2 linked regions of the Anolis sagrei genome follow. The protein of the gene in region 1 binds, or shares a complex with, the protein of each later gene. Links are inferred from orthologs where the notes say so. Each region holds a gene or a part of one and is shown on either strand. Other genes may lie near its edges.

What was found. Proteins that work in one complex are often made in the same cells at the same time.
Region 2: CDHR5 (region 1) and MYO7B share a complex: the UniProt entries of both Homo sapiens proteins name them as parts of the IMAC/intermicrovillar adhesion complex. The link is inferred for Anolis sagrei from reciprocal best matches to the Homo sapiens genes CDHR5 and MYO7B.

The regions. Positions count from the first base shown.
Region 1 is NC_090021.1:240,588,382-240,596,290, reverse strand, and holds the start of CDHR5 (cadherin-related family member 5), read left to right. Parts: upstream 1-4,899; coding exon 4,900-4,978; intron 4,979-6,343; coding exon 6,344-6,525; intron 6,526-7,909. UniProt on the Homo sapiens protein: Intermicrovillar adhesion molecule that forms, via its extracellular domain, calcium-dependent heterophilic complexes with CDHR2 on adjacent microvilli. Thereby, controls the packing of microvilli at the apical membrane of epithelial cells.
Region 2 is NC_090023.1:221,037,947-221,044,906, reverse strand, and holds the start of MYO7B (unconventional myosin-VIIb), read left to right. Parts: upstream 1-3,959; 5' UTR 3,960-4,233; intron 4,234-6,261; 5' UTR 6,262-6,357; intron 6,358-6,960. UniProt on the Homo sapiens protein: Myosins are actin-based motor molecules with ATPase activity. Their highly divergent tails are presumed to bind to membranous compartments, which would be moved relative to actin filaments.

The DNA of each region.
Region 1 (7,909 bases):
AGGACACTTCTGCCTCTTTTCAATTAAGAAGAGCTATGCATGATGGCCAGAAATAGTTTAACACATGTGATGAGTTCTGTACCTCTCCATGTTTGAAAAGAGGCTGAAGTGTCCTACGAGGGGGAAATTTCTCAATGTGATAAGGAGTAGACTACAAGCTAAACATGAGTCAACAGTATGATGTGGCAGCTAAAAAAACCCTATATAATTCTAAACTGCATCAATAGGAACATAGTGCCTATGTCAAATGAAATAATAGAACTACTCTATTCTGCTTTGGTCAGATCTCACCTGGAATATTGTGTTTAGTTCTGGGCACTATAGTTCAAGAAGGATATTAACAAGCTGAAATGTGACTCGGGCAACTAAAATGCTCAAAAATTTGGAAACCAAGCCCTATGAGGAGCAGCTTAAGGAGCTGGGTATGTTTCGCTTTGGAGAAAAGAAATCTGGGAGGAGACATGATAGTGCCATGTTTAAATATGTGAAAGGATGTCACATTGAGGAGAGGACAAACTAGTTTTCTGTTGCTCTGGAGACTAGGACACAGAGCAATGTGCTCAAATTGCAGGGAAAGAGATTCCAGCTAAACATTAGGAAGAACTCTCTGATGATAAGAAGAACTGTTCAGCAATGGAATATGTCATCCCAGGTCTGGTGGAGTCCCCTTTTATGAGGTTTTTAAGCAGAGGCTAGCTGGCCATCTGTTTGGAGTGCTTTGATTGTGGGTTCCTGTATGGCAGGGGGCTGGATTGCATGACCCTTGTGGCCTCTTCAAATTGTATGATTTTATTATACCATCTGACATTTACATAGGGATTAGATCAATCCTACAGAGATGTCCCAGATGAGGGTCATTTGAGACTTTCAAGGTGGTCTGGACTTGGATTTTGTGGAAAATATTAGACCTATATAGAGACATGGACGCACTGCAAGCAACCACCCACTAGAGGGCTTCAATAGTCTAATTTTAGGCACAGCCACTTGCATTTTCATTAGTTCATCACTGCAGTATCAATCAAGTAGTGACTTGGGTCCAAACTTCACAGTGTATCTCACTTCACAGAGTGCTGGAAAGCAGGAAATGCAAATAAAGCCTTCCTTTATCTTTCAAAACTTGTTTTCACCCAGCTGCTTTCTCTCACTCACAGAAAAATGTGATGAATAATTTTTCCCTGCAGGTGAGAAAGTAGTTTGGGGTCTGGGATTTTGAGCCATCTTGTATACAAATAGTTAATAATTTTGACTAAACAACAACAACAACGGATTAAGCATTCAAACCACTACACTGAACTGGATGAATGCAAATACTCCATAACAGTATCAGTCTATCATAACTTGGTTTGCACCCTTCCAAATCTTGGGCACCTTCCAGATGCATTGGACTCAAGTGCCTATTATCCAGTTGAGCAGGCCAGTAACCATGAGGCCAGTAACCATGCTGGCTGAGAGTGACGGGGACTGCAGTCAAACCACATCTGGGGGATGTCAGGTTGGGAAGGTTACAGTTGACTGCCAATGTGGGTTACATTAAGAAACATTCAACATGTGCTCCAAAACTTTAAGATGTTGGCACAGTATGAAAGTAACAGGCGTAGGCTATAACAGGGGTTGCCACAAGTTAAAGTGCAACTACAAAATACTGAGAGCATTTATCTCAGGAAAAACATTTGCTATGAGGAATGTGGAATCTCCAAGGGAAGGGGATTTTCTGCCACAGTGAGAGATCAAAGCAGCAATCCAAATGACCTTTATATACTATTCTGAGAGCCTTTCTGGAGAAGCTTTTTCTTTCCCCCACAAACACCTCATTCCATAATTTCAAAGCATTTTGTAGTTATTTAATTTTGCAATTTAGACACAGATTTAGATTTCCATCCAAGAAAATTTATTTTTTAAAATAAAACGAAACTACAGAAAAGCAGAATCACATCCACATCATAACTAAAGAAATTAAGAAACCCAGTGATTTTTTTCATGGCTACACACTGTCTAATGCAGGGGTCCTCAAACTCTAAGATCATTTACCCGGCCCTTGCTCAGAGTCAGCCTAAGTCTGAAACGACTCGAAAGCACATAACAACAACAACAACAGCAATTCCTATCTCATCAGCCAAAAGTGGGTCCACACTTCCCATTGAAATACTAATAATTTTATATTTGTTAAAATTGTTCTTCATTTTAATTACTGTATTGTTTTAAGTGTTTTTTGCACTACAAATAAGATATGTGCAGTGTGCGTAGGAATTCATTCATTTTTTTAAAAAATTATAATCCGGCCCTCCAACAGTTTGAGGGACTGTGACCTGGCCCTCTGTTTAAAAAGTTTGAGGACCCCTGGTCTAATGACTGATGGTATATATAATATTTTATAATTGAGTCGCCTGAGGGCTGAGAAGGGGGGGTATACAAATATAGTAAATAAATACATACATATAAAAGACATTCATTATAACTTCTGCATCAGAATTTTGAAAAACCAATCCTGAACTTTTGAAGTGGAAAAAAATGCCAAAACCTTTATCTCCAAGAGTTTTGTCTTTTTGCTGGAAATTATTTGCACTAACTTTACAGGTGAATGTGGTGAAACCACTCAGTTCATGCCCAGATTTTTATTCATTGTTATTAATAATTCTTAAATCCCAGGGCTCAGCTGGGGACTTAAAACCTTCCCAAATTTCTTTTTTTTAAAAAAATTGAAATATATCATCCAATTTTTACATATCCTCTTTTTCATATACACAAGAATGTTTATTGTTTCCATATTATCCAGTTCATTGTGTAAAATATAATGTAATAGACTAAAATTTTAAACATTACTTCCAGGAAATGTTTTGAAGGGTTCCCAGACTTTCTTGAACATTGAAGGATCCTTTATTTGAAGCTATTTTGTCAAAATGTTGATTTCCACTATTTCAGCTACTTTTACTATCCATTCTTTCATTTTTGGAGTTTCTTCTAGGTTTCCACTTCCAAAGACATACAATTCTTGCTGCAGTTGTCATCAGAATGAAAAGTTTGTCATACGTCTTCAAAGTAATCAATCTATTATGCCTGTTATCCCTAGGGTATAGGGTTACAGCCTGTGCTGGATGGGGTCGCACTCCCCTTGAAGGCGCAGGTTCGCAGCTTGGGTGTGATCCTGGATTCATCGCTGAGCCTGGAGCCCCAGGTCTCGGTGGTGACCAGGGGAGCATTCGCACAGCTTAGGCTTGTGCGCCAGCTGCGCCCGTATCTTGGGAAGTCTGACTTGGCCACGGTAGTCCACGCTCTGGTTACATCCCGCTTAGACTACTGCAACGCTCTCTACGTGGGGTTGCCTTTGAAGACGGCCCGGAAGCTCCAACTGGTCCAACGTGCGGCAGCCATGACACTAACAGGAGCGGGATGTAGGGAGCATACAACCCCCCTGCTGTACCAGCTCCACTGGCTGCCGATCTGCTACCGAGCTCAATTCAAGGTGCTGGCATTGGCCTATAAAGCCCTAAATGGTTCCGGCCCAAAATACCTAACTGACCGCCTCTCGGCCTATGAGCCCTCGAAGACTTTGAGATCTTCCGGGGAGGCCCTGCTCTCGATTCCACCTGCCTCACAGGCACGGCTGGTGGGGACGAGAGATAGGGCCTTCTCGGTGGCGGCTCCTCGGCTGTGGAACACCCTTCCCGTGGACATCAGGCTAGCCCCCTCCCTGCTAATATTCCGCAGGAAGCTAAAGACCTGGCTATTTAAGAAGGCATTTGATCAATAGTGCAATGACTGGCAATTGACCATAGGAATGGAACACCGGAAATGAGATCGGATTGTGGCTTGACGATGAGACGATTCGGAATGTAGTAATAATTTTGTTAAGATGTTTTTATGATTATGATGAATTGTACACTGTTTTGCACTATGCTCTGTAGATTGCACTTGTTTTTGTCATGTTGTACACCGCAATGAGTCGCCCTTGGGGGCTGAGAATTGCGGTATATAAGCGCAGTAAATAAATAAATAAATAATAGTAAGTAGGGTTGTGCTTTCAGGGTAAATCTTGACTCGTTTCGTGTCCTGGCTTTCAGTGGCGGCCCCGATCAGTTTTTGGGAGCTTCCCGAAATCAGGAGGGCAGATATTTGTTTTCGCTCGGGGTGCTGAAAGATCTGTTTTCTATCAGCCCATTATTGGGGGGGGGGCTTCCCAGGCTCCCCCTCCTGTCATTTTAGACATTACTCTAGAGGAAAGGTGCTCAGCTGCATGCAGGTGCATACCTTAAGGAAACTTCTTACCTGTTTCTACACTAGAAGAGAGGCACTCAGTTCCAAGCAGGCACGGGCGCTTTCTGGCCATAATTTTGGCCCCCAAACTTGCCTTTGACTTACATGTGAGGTATGTGTATATATGGTAAGTCTCCCTGAATGCAGTGGACTAAGTAGACATTTGAAGTGGTGATAGTTTCAAGATATTTTTCTGCCCAAGTCAGAACTGCAAATGGTATCTCTCACTTACCAAAGCCAAAATGCATCCTGCCCAACCAAGGCAAACCACACACCGCATAACCATATCTTTTTGTTTCAGCAAAACACAATGAACCTCTATCACCCTTCCATGATACCCAAAATACGTAGCCCAAGGCAGCTACTCACTCTGGGCAGGGACTGCCTCTGCAATGTAAGAACAACCCAGTCTCCAAGGTAAGACAAAGTACTTTCCACTGAGCCAGTCACTGATGAGTGATGGTAAATAAGTCATAAATAAGTGAGTCAATAAACCAAGATGCAAAGGTTAAACTCCTCTGTTAGCAAAGTACTATTTGCAGCATTACGGTACTTCCTGATGGAAGAGTGAAAGGACGATTCATGATGATAATAAATGAAGACCGCTTTTCTTAGATTTTGGATTCCTCCCCTCCCTCCACCAGTGTGATGGCTCTTTTCATTCAGCTCTGCACCTGTATGGTCTTTGTCTTGGTATCTGTACTTCATGTCCAAGGACAGAGCGCATGTAAGTATGCCTGGGAGACAGGAGCAAATACTGACTCAGGGTTAATTGTTAAAAACAACACAAGAGGGATAGTTGTTTGGATACACCCATAGAGGAACAAAAGGCATAGATATTTTCAATATATGGATTGCCTAAATAGCCTAAAAGCACCAAATCCTGTCTGATCTTGGAAGTTAAACAGGACCTGGTTAGTCTTTGGATGGGAGACTATCAAAACTACCAGGTGAATTAGGTTAGCGTATATTTTGAAGGAAGGAATTGGCAAACCACCTCTAAGTATTTTTCGCCTAAGAAAACCCTATGAAGTTCATGGTGTTGTAATAAATTGACCAGAAAACTGAATGGACACCTAAATATACTTTAAATACGTAGCACTAGCTTATAGATGCTTATTTCAAATTAAACTCCCACAGAGTTTCGTGGAGTTTTCTCTTCTATAAGCATGAACAGAAGCGCAGCAAGAACACTAAAATACATTGTATATTTCAAGAAGAGATCTTGCCTGGGGAAGAATCAGTATTATGTTTCCAATATGCTAGCAAAGTTTTTTTTGTCAGAACAATGAACTTTTGACAATATGTAAAGAGATTCAAGCCAACAGAAATAATAATATTAACACAGGTACTAGTACTAATTTAAAAAATGCTCTACTTTATAATATTATCTAATTCAGGCAATTAATTCTAAATTAACAATATGAATGGGAATAATTTTACATAGTGTCTGGAATAGGGAATTCAATATCTAAATTTAATATGGGATTAGATGTACCTCAAATTACAAAGGTGTATACTTGATAAAGGCACAGGAAAAGATTTTGAATGATGAAAGGCCAAACATTGGCATGTCCCCAGTCTAGATATCAGATAAAATATTATTATTTGGATGTATCTCTTGCATATCTGCTTATTGCCATGTTATATGAAATGTCCTATAAAGCATTTGTACGTTGTTGTTGTTGCTACTGCTGTTGTGTGCTTCCAAATTGTTTCTAACTTATGGTGATCCTTTAATGAGGTTTTCTGGGGCTGAAGGTGGGTTTCAGAAGCTGCACAGGGAACTGAACCTGGTCTCCAGAGCCTCCAGCGCTCAAACTGCAATAACAGAAGGTACCTTGTGGGCCATCCAGTCCAACCCCTTGCCAAGAAACAGGAAAATTGCATTCAAACCACCCCCAACAGATGGCCCTGAGAATGCCACACTGGTTCTCACTTGTTGCCAATAAAATATTAAATTAAAGTATAAAACTCTAGTTTTAAATTAAAGTATAAAATTCTAAGTCAGTCGATACTGGCAGATATGAATGATTCTGTTGAGTTAGACTGCACTTCCAGAGACATGAAATCTTTCCTTTTGTTTCACTAGACTGTTCTGTGGAGAATGCCAGTCCTAGTATTGAGGAGAACAATGCTCCTGGAGTCGTGGTCACCAACATTACGACAGCTGCTGGTGTCACTGTAACAATTGCCCCGGCATCAGACACAAACCCTGAGTGGTTTGACATAAAAGACTCACAACTTATCCTGAAATATTCAGTGGATTATGAGGTAAATGACAGAGTGGGGATTAATGGCACAGTAAGATGTGGTTAGCTGTTTATCGAGAAAAGCCATTGCTTATGTTCCTATGAATATAAAGACAGTATGAAGTGGATCGATACAGTCCAGCCAAAGTCTAAATACACCTAAAAGCTTAGTGTTATCAGAGTGAAAAATGGAAACAGTTTCTGCTCCTATAAGGATTGTGGAGAAGAGGGAATTTGAGCAGGTATTGCTTGTCATGCAACTTGGTAACTTACTTACTTAGGCAATCCCTCGTTGTCTGGGATCGATGGACTGGCGGTGGGTCCATAGGTGACTGTGGAGCCCTATTCTTTATCTGCGTGTTCTCCCGCAGCGAGGGCATTGGTTTCCAGGTGGAAAGCGGTCCTGGTTGTGGTTGGCTTGATGTGCCTTCCTCTTGGCACGTTTCTCTCTTTCACCCTCCATTGGTGCCTCTTTAAATTCTACAGCACTGCTGCTCACAGCTGACCTCCAGCTGGAGCACTAAACGGCCAGGGCTTCCCAGTTCTCAGTGTCTATGCCAGAGTGTTTAAGGTTGGCCTTGAGCCCATCTTTAAATCTCTTTTCCTGTCCACAAACATTCCGTTTTCCGTTCTTGAGTTCAGAGTAGAGCAACTGCTTTGAGAGATGGTGGCCGGGCATCCAGACAACGTGGCCGGTCCAGTGGAGTTGATGACAGAGGACCATCGCTTCAATGCTGGTGGCCTTTGCTTCTTCCAGCACGCTGACATTTGTCCACTTGTCTTCCCAAGAGATTTGCAGAATTTTTTTTGGAGGCAACGCTGATGGAATCATTCTAGGAGTTGCATGTGATGTCTGTAGATAGTCAAAGTCTTGCAGGCATATAGCAGGGTTGGGAGGATAATAGCTTTATAAACAAGCACCTTGGTATCCCTACAGATGTCCCAGTCTTCAAACACTCTGTGCTTCATTCGGAAAAATGCTGCACTCGCAGAGCTCAGGCGGTGTTGCATTTCACTGTCAATGTTGACTTTTGTGGAGAGGTGGCTGCCAAGGTAGCGGAAATGGTCAACATTTTCTAATGTTACACTATTAAGCTGAATTTCTGGCATTGAAGAGGGATTATCTGGTGACTGCGGGAAGAGTACTTTGGTTTTCTCGATGCTCAATGACAGGCTGAGGTTCTTGTATGCTTCTGTGAAGGTGTTTAGAATGGCTTGTAGGTCTTCTTCTGAATGTGCACAGATGACATTGTCATCAGCATATTCTATAACAGATGTTGTTGTTGTTGTAACCTTGCTTTGTAACCTGGTAACTGACTGAAATTTCCTCTTCGACTCAGCAAATGGTGACATCTCATTTTTTAAAATCTAGTAACCCTAGTTCTTGCGTATTGATAATATTAGTA
Region 2 (6,960 bases), on another chromosome or scaffold:
GACCCCATCTATATTATATGGCAGGGTAGACTAATATAATCCAATTCAAAGCAAATAATCTGGATTTTATATATTGTACCAGTGTGAGTGGGGCATGAGGCCCTTTCTAAACAGTATCTGCTTTGAACAAATATATGGCAGTGTGGACCCAGGGTGCCAAATGGTGATGGGTCCTCACCAAACTACAAAACCTCAGAATCTCATAGCATTGAGCCATGACAGTTATTGGGCCCTTTCATACAGACCTATATCCCAGAATATCAAGGCAGAAAATCCCACAATATCTGCTTTCTGTCTCGATATTCTGTGATATAGGGCTGTGTGGAAGGGCCCTGGGTTATCTGAGTCCACACTGCCATATATTCCAGTTCAAAGGAGATAATGTTGAGATCGGGGGTGACCCCCCCCCCCCCCCCCGCAGACTCTGTTAAATATAGTTCAAAATCAGGGAGTTAATAGTTTTGCCAAGGATACCAGGCTGGAATGATCCCATAATCCCTTATCTCCCCCCATGTGGGAACCTAAGGTTTTTTTCCTATGGCCCCACATGGCAAGGCCTCTGTAACCCAAACTTTATGAACTTCTTCCAACTTCTATAAACTTTGGGAACTTTTATCAACTTTTGAAGACTTTTAAGACTTTTAGGAATTTCCATGGACTCTTTGTCAAATCCCTATGAACTGTGAACTCTTATTAACTCTTTTTACCAACTTTTCCAAACTTATGTGAACTTCAATGGACTTTGGGGGGCTGATGTGATTTTCCCTTAGACCCTGCATGATTCCCCCCCCCTTCCTATGAATTCTTTGTATATTCCCCTACCCATTCCCATACCTTATGTGTAAGTATGTCTGTATTTTGAAAAATGAAGGCAAAGTCATCTTCATGAATCCAGCGCCCCATGGCTCCAGGAAGCTTTCCCAATTTTCTGAGCCAGTAAATCTTTTGACAAAGGACTCAACCAAAATTCATTTGCATGAACAATAAATAAATGGTTCTTAGACCTATGGACATCTGAATCACCCAACACAAAGGGTGTCTTCCTGTCTGCGAGGAATTAGGATTTCACCACAGGCTTTTCCATTGTGCCAACCCAACTGGCCGAAACCAGCCTCAATCTTCATCAATGGATCCCATACCCAGGAAGGAAGAAAACAAAGAATCTAGCCCCCTGAGCTACACAAAGATGTAAATTCAAAAGATTAAAACAATAACCCTGGCTAGGCTTGAGAGCCTAAAGGTCTTCGCCCAGCCATTTAGCAAACACTGGTCATCTTAATCCAGTCAACTAGACACTTCTTCATTGTTTCCCTGTTGCCCACCTCCCTTCCACCTCATTGGCTGAGAGGCCAAAGAAGGGCTCAGGCCACCATTGGCTCTCCTGCTGACTTGCTGACGTCACAGTCTATCATAGCAAAGCCAGCTCGGAAGGGGGGAGAGGGGTGGGCATGGAAACTTTTGAATCTGAAGGCTATAAATATACCTTTTTGCCCAGTGGGCACGTCGATTTTGTTCACAGATTATTACAATCGTCATCCTTTCCAGCTGGAATGAAATAAAAACCTCAATGGCTTTCTCTTCAACTTGGGGAGATTTATTCTGTAATAATGACTTCTCTTTCTCACCAGGCAACCCACAATGGCATGGGCCTATCCACAGCCATTCTAAATTGCTCGACAACAATGTGGGATTTTATTCAGCTGTGTGGAAGGGTCTTATGTAATCCTGTGAGTTGTAATTTTAGCAAGGTCTTTTGCCTTCCTTGCCAAACAGAATTGATGCCTCACCAAACTATGGATCCCAAAGAGAGTTGGTGCCTAATCAAACTATGGTTCCCATGCTATGGAATCCATAGTTTGGTAAGGCACCAACTCTCTTTGTTTTAGTATTTGGGATAGGTTTTATGACTATGTTTTAAATGGCATTGAATCTTGCTGGAGTTGTAAGCCACCTTGAGTACCCTTACGGGGGTGAGAAAGGTAGGGTATAAAGGAAGCAAATAAATAAATGTTCTTCGGTTGGTAAGACACATGCAACAGAATCTGTATTTTTTGGATCAAGTTTCACTTTGACCAAATCTATTAATCTATGGAAATGTTTCAGGATATCCACTTCCCATTTACAACTACATGGAAAAGAATAATTTCTATTTCCATCTGGAAAGGAATAATTTTGCCAGAAATCCCAGGACAACTTCTCCTAGAAACTTTGCTATACACGTTGAAAAGCCCAAGAGACAAGATGGATCAGAAAGTGGTTTTGCTGTGAGAATTATTATACAAGAATTCCTGTATGAAACCAATGCTTTTGCACCTTTTTCTGAGGAATAATTGGACTCACACCTTCTACCAGGCATCTCAGAAAACCATGTGAGGTTTTAATTAAGTCCTGTAGTGTTTTACCACAGTACGATAGATCTTAGTTATTTTTTTATATTAATCCTCACATCTGAGATTCATTTGACATGTCCTTCACCTTTCATAGAAAGCACCAAAACAGATGAATATACATGAAAGTGTGTTGTTTTTGTACCAGTCAGAGGCAGGGGCTCACAGGTGCCTCTGCAACAAGAAATGGGGGGTGCTTTTCAGACAGGATACTATTTTCTGCCTTGTGCTTCCTCTACCTAGCTGCCTACGTGATACGGCAATCTAGATGCTTAAATATTTACATAACAAAATTGGGACATGACTTGTACAAGAATACAAATACTAATATTACAGAATTCTGATTTCTTTTTAAAAGATATTTTTTATTATTTTATCATGGTTAAATACATTTGTTATACATTGTTTGTTTTACAGCAGATACATATTATTCAATACAACCTACCAAACATTTGGCATCTAGTTTTATTTTTCTGCTTATACATATTATCTATCCCTCACCACTGTGCTCGCCCCCCCCCCCCCCCCCAAGCCACAGCTTTTACATATCATCTGTCCAACATTTCAATTCTTCTTGTGGAAGTAACTTTCCTTCTTTATTTTTTAACCCTTTTTCAATAAATTTTCTCCATACATCATCAAAATCACTTTGTTTCCTCTTTTAAGTTTTAATATACATGTCAGGTTATCATTTATTGCCAATTTCCATACTTCCTTGTACCACTCCTCTATTTGTATATTTATTTCTTTTTTCCAGTTCCTTGCTATAAGCAGTCTTGCTACTGTTAATAAATTTGTTATCGCTTCTTTAACCTCTTTTTTCAATTGTTTATTATTATATAATGATAATAAAACTATACTAGGACTTCTTTCTGTTTTAATATTCATTATATCTTCTATTTCTCTAAATACTTTCCCCCAAAATTATTTACATATTTACATTGCCACCACATATGTATATATGTTCCTGATTTTTGACATCCTCTCCAGCAATTTTTTAAATAGTTTTTATTTATATTTGCTATTCTTACTGGTGTTAGGTACCATTTTCATATTAACTTATAATAATTTTCTTTAACCTGAATTGATAAATTTTTTTAGATGTCTTTGTCTCCATAATTGTTGCCACTCTGTTCACTTATTTTTATCCCTAAATCTTCTTCCCAGACCTCCTTGAGGATGTTATTTTTTGTTTTTCCTTTCTTTATTTCAATTATTATCTTACATATTTACTAGTTATTCCTTTCAAATTTTCATGCTCCTCTACAACCCTTCCATTTTGTATTATTTGTTCAAATTGGTTAAGCTTACTTCCGTTTTTATTATTTTTTCCCCAGTTTTTAAACTATTGTTCTAATTGTATACAAAGGAACCATGTCAATTTTATTTCTCTAAATTCTTCCATAATCATTTCCTTCTTCATTCCAGAATTCTGATTTCAAATGTGCTGTATAGTGGCATAAATTTAGCGGAGTTATAACACAGTAACCTCAACTTAAGTCTAATCATTTTAATAATGATTCTTATTTCAAAGAGCAATGTGATGAATGTAGAAGTGTATCTAAACATATTTTGGTTGTTTTGATTATGTCTCTGTTTGGATTGGTACAAAATAGCACACAGTGTCTGCTTTTAAGATGTTATTGGCCGGATCCCAAATAGAAGGATGGATGTCACTTAAATCCTAATGAGATTGCACCGCAGGGAAGAATGACCTACCTCATAACACCCAGAGTAGGAAGTGCCACCTTGGTAGTTTGTGTGGGTGTCCACGAATTATTGGGCTTTTATTTTCACTGCCGCACAAATGAGTTAAGATGTTAAGAAAAACTGGGGGAATTTGTTGGTATGTATTGCTGTCTTACTCTTTTCCCACGTCATAAGCATTTTTAATTTAGCTGTAGTTTTCAGTGACTTTGCAAAACAAATCTGCTTAGGTAAAGAAGTGATTAAGTGGGAAGTTGAAGGATGCACATGGTACATAATGTAAAGTTAGCATGTCGCTTTTTGGGCTTTTTTATTTAGAATTGTACAAATTCAGGGATATAGAATTACAGTCAAAGCTGATGTAAATTGTTATTCATCCTGCGTTACATGCAAGAAAAGTCATGTTGTAAATTTTCTTGAAGAAGAAAACAGTATAAGTGCATATGCTCCATAAGCTCTTTTATCACAGATGGCAAACTATTAATTAAGAAGTTGCTGGGAAGCTGTATGTTCATAACAAACTCCAGTGTAGCAGGATTAATGTCATTTGGCATTAACAGTTCAACACACGCATTACTAACATCTGTTCATTGCTATTGATCTTCATAACCTGTGTGTTAGAAAGTGGCTTGCATTAACTTGCTTGCACTCCAACCTGATGCTCCAAGACATATTTTATATGCAAATTTGTCTTTAATTAATCAATAATTTTAATTAATCAAAAACTCTTAGAAATTTGACTATATGCAATATACTAGTTGTCAGTTGTATAGGACTTAATATACAGATGATATGTTCTTGTATTCATAATGGATTTTAATTAAGGCTGTTTATTGATTTTAAAAGGAGTTAATTAATAGTATTTGTTTCAACAAGTAGACATTTATGATACTACACTTAGTCAAGAAAAACGACATGCCATCTTGTTAGCTGGTCCTTTGTGCTTTTCGTATATGATGGGGTTGGACTGGATGGCCTGTGTGGTGTCTTGAATCTCTATAATTCATAGAATCTCTATGATTCTATGATAGACACCTGGCTTGAAAATGGTATATGTGAAAAGGATATTCTGTGGCAGTCTTGGATAATAAGGTGAATATTTCAGATAAATAAATATGACTCAACACTGTGTGATGTGGGGTCTCAAATGCTATAGTAACCTAGGCTGCATCAATAGGAGCCTGCACAACATATGGCCTGCGAGCCAGATGCCTCCCTCCAGGGACTTTCTTGCAGCCTGCACAAGGCAGGCAGGGGAAGGGCCATTCCAATTAGGCAGGCCGCAAAAGGGCTGACCAGTGAACCCCAACTCCTTCTCCAACCTCATGCCTTTTCCAAGTATTGGGAACCGGCTTCCCCTTCCTGGTCGCCCCTTCCTCTGAAATATGCATAAAAGACAATTGAATTGAAATTGGTTTATTTCTCAGTGTCAGCCAATATGCTGACAGTAGGCAAGTTTTTCTGAACCTTTGTCTGAGGCAGAGAACGTGGCTCACTCAAGACAACCATTTATCAATATCTAGGTTTTGCACTCAGTGTTGTTTAAGTATGCAGTTTCTAATGCTACTTATTAAACATTCTCATTGGTTGTTTTATAATTTTATGATTTCTGTACTAAGTGGTACAAACTTGAATGCATTTTCAGGTTTTCTTATTGTTAATTAGCAAAGTAATCTTTTTTTGCAATAATTTGATTTCAGAATAAATAAAAAGATTACATAAGTTTAATTAATGAATATTAATTGAAACTTCCCCTTTAATAATATGGTTTATTTACACTATAGTTTATTAATTAATTATACATTTATTTGGAAAATGAGGTGCTAAAAACCTATCTGTGGTCCAAAATTGTTTGACCTATTCTAATTTCGGCTCCTTATTATTGCCAGGTTGTGCAAGCCTGGTTTAGATCAATAGAAGTAACAGTCCCACTCTATTCTAGTTTGGTCTTAAATGATGTCTAGTAGGTGCCATTTTACATTCTCGCAGTGTTCCAGTGAACATGATATTATGAGAAATCAAAATGTTGGGTGAACACAGGAAATAGGTGTTTTGTGAGGCTCGAGGATTCACAACATTCTCCAGTAAGCCCTGCAAAAGTCCTGGGACCCTGAGTGCCACCCAAGAATGCCTGGTGCTGATCCTGGGCCTGCTTTTTGGTTTTCAGGTGATACATGCATCCCATCAGGCATATCTCAGAAAAGGAAGTCCTTCCTGTGTGTGGGAAGAGGAATGTTTCTTCCAAGAAGGCACCCATGGATGTGTAAGCACTTACCTTAAAATTATTTTCATTTTTTTAAACTGCTGTATCAGGAGCAATATGTGGTTTGTTGATCAACTGATAAATTAGTGATCTATGTTTCTATCTACACACACGCATATACATATACATACTTGAGTCAATTCAAAGCTGAATTCCTGCTATTCAACTACATTTCACCAAAATATTAGCATTTCCCTTGACTTTTCTCAAAGTCAGAAGGCATTATTATAACTACTTTGCCTACAGTCAGAACAATCTCTTAGCTTCCTTGAGGACCCTTCCACACAGCCCTATATCGCTGAATATCAAGGCAGAAAATCCCACAATATCTGCTTTGAACTGCTTTGAACCCACATTCAGATAATGTGGGATTTTCTGCCTCGATATTCTGGAATATAAGGCTGTGTGGAAGGACCTTTGGTTGCACCATCATCAATGTATGTCTATCATATTGCAGACCTTGGGTTTTCCTAGGAAATCCAGAATAAAGTCTGTTTTCAAAATTCACATCAAAGGCATCTAAAACCATTTTTGTTTTGGAAAGGAAGAACATTGTGCGTTCAATAGCACTAGCACTGAGGTAAGATCAAGATATTTTGCTGG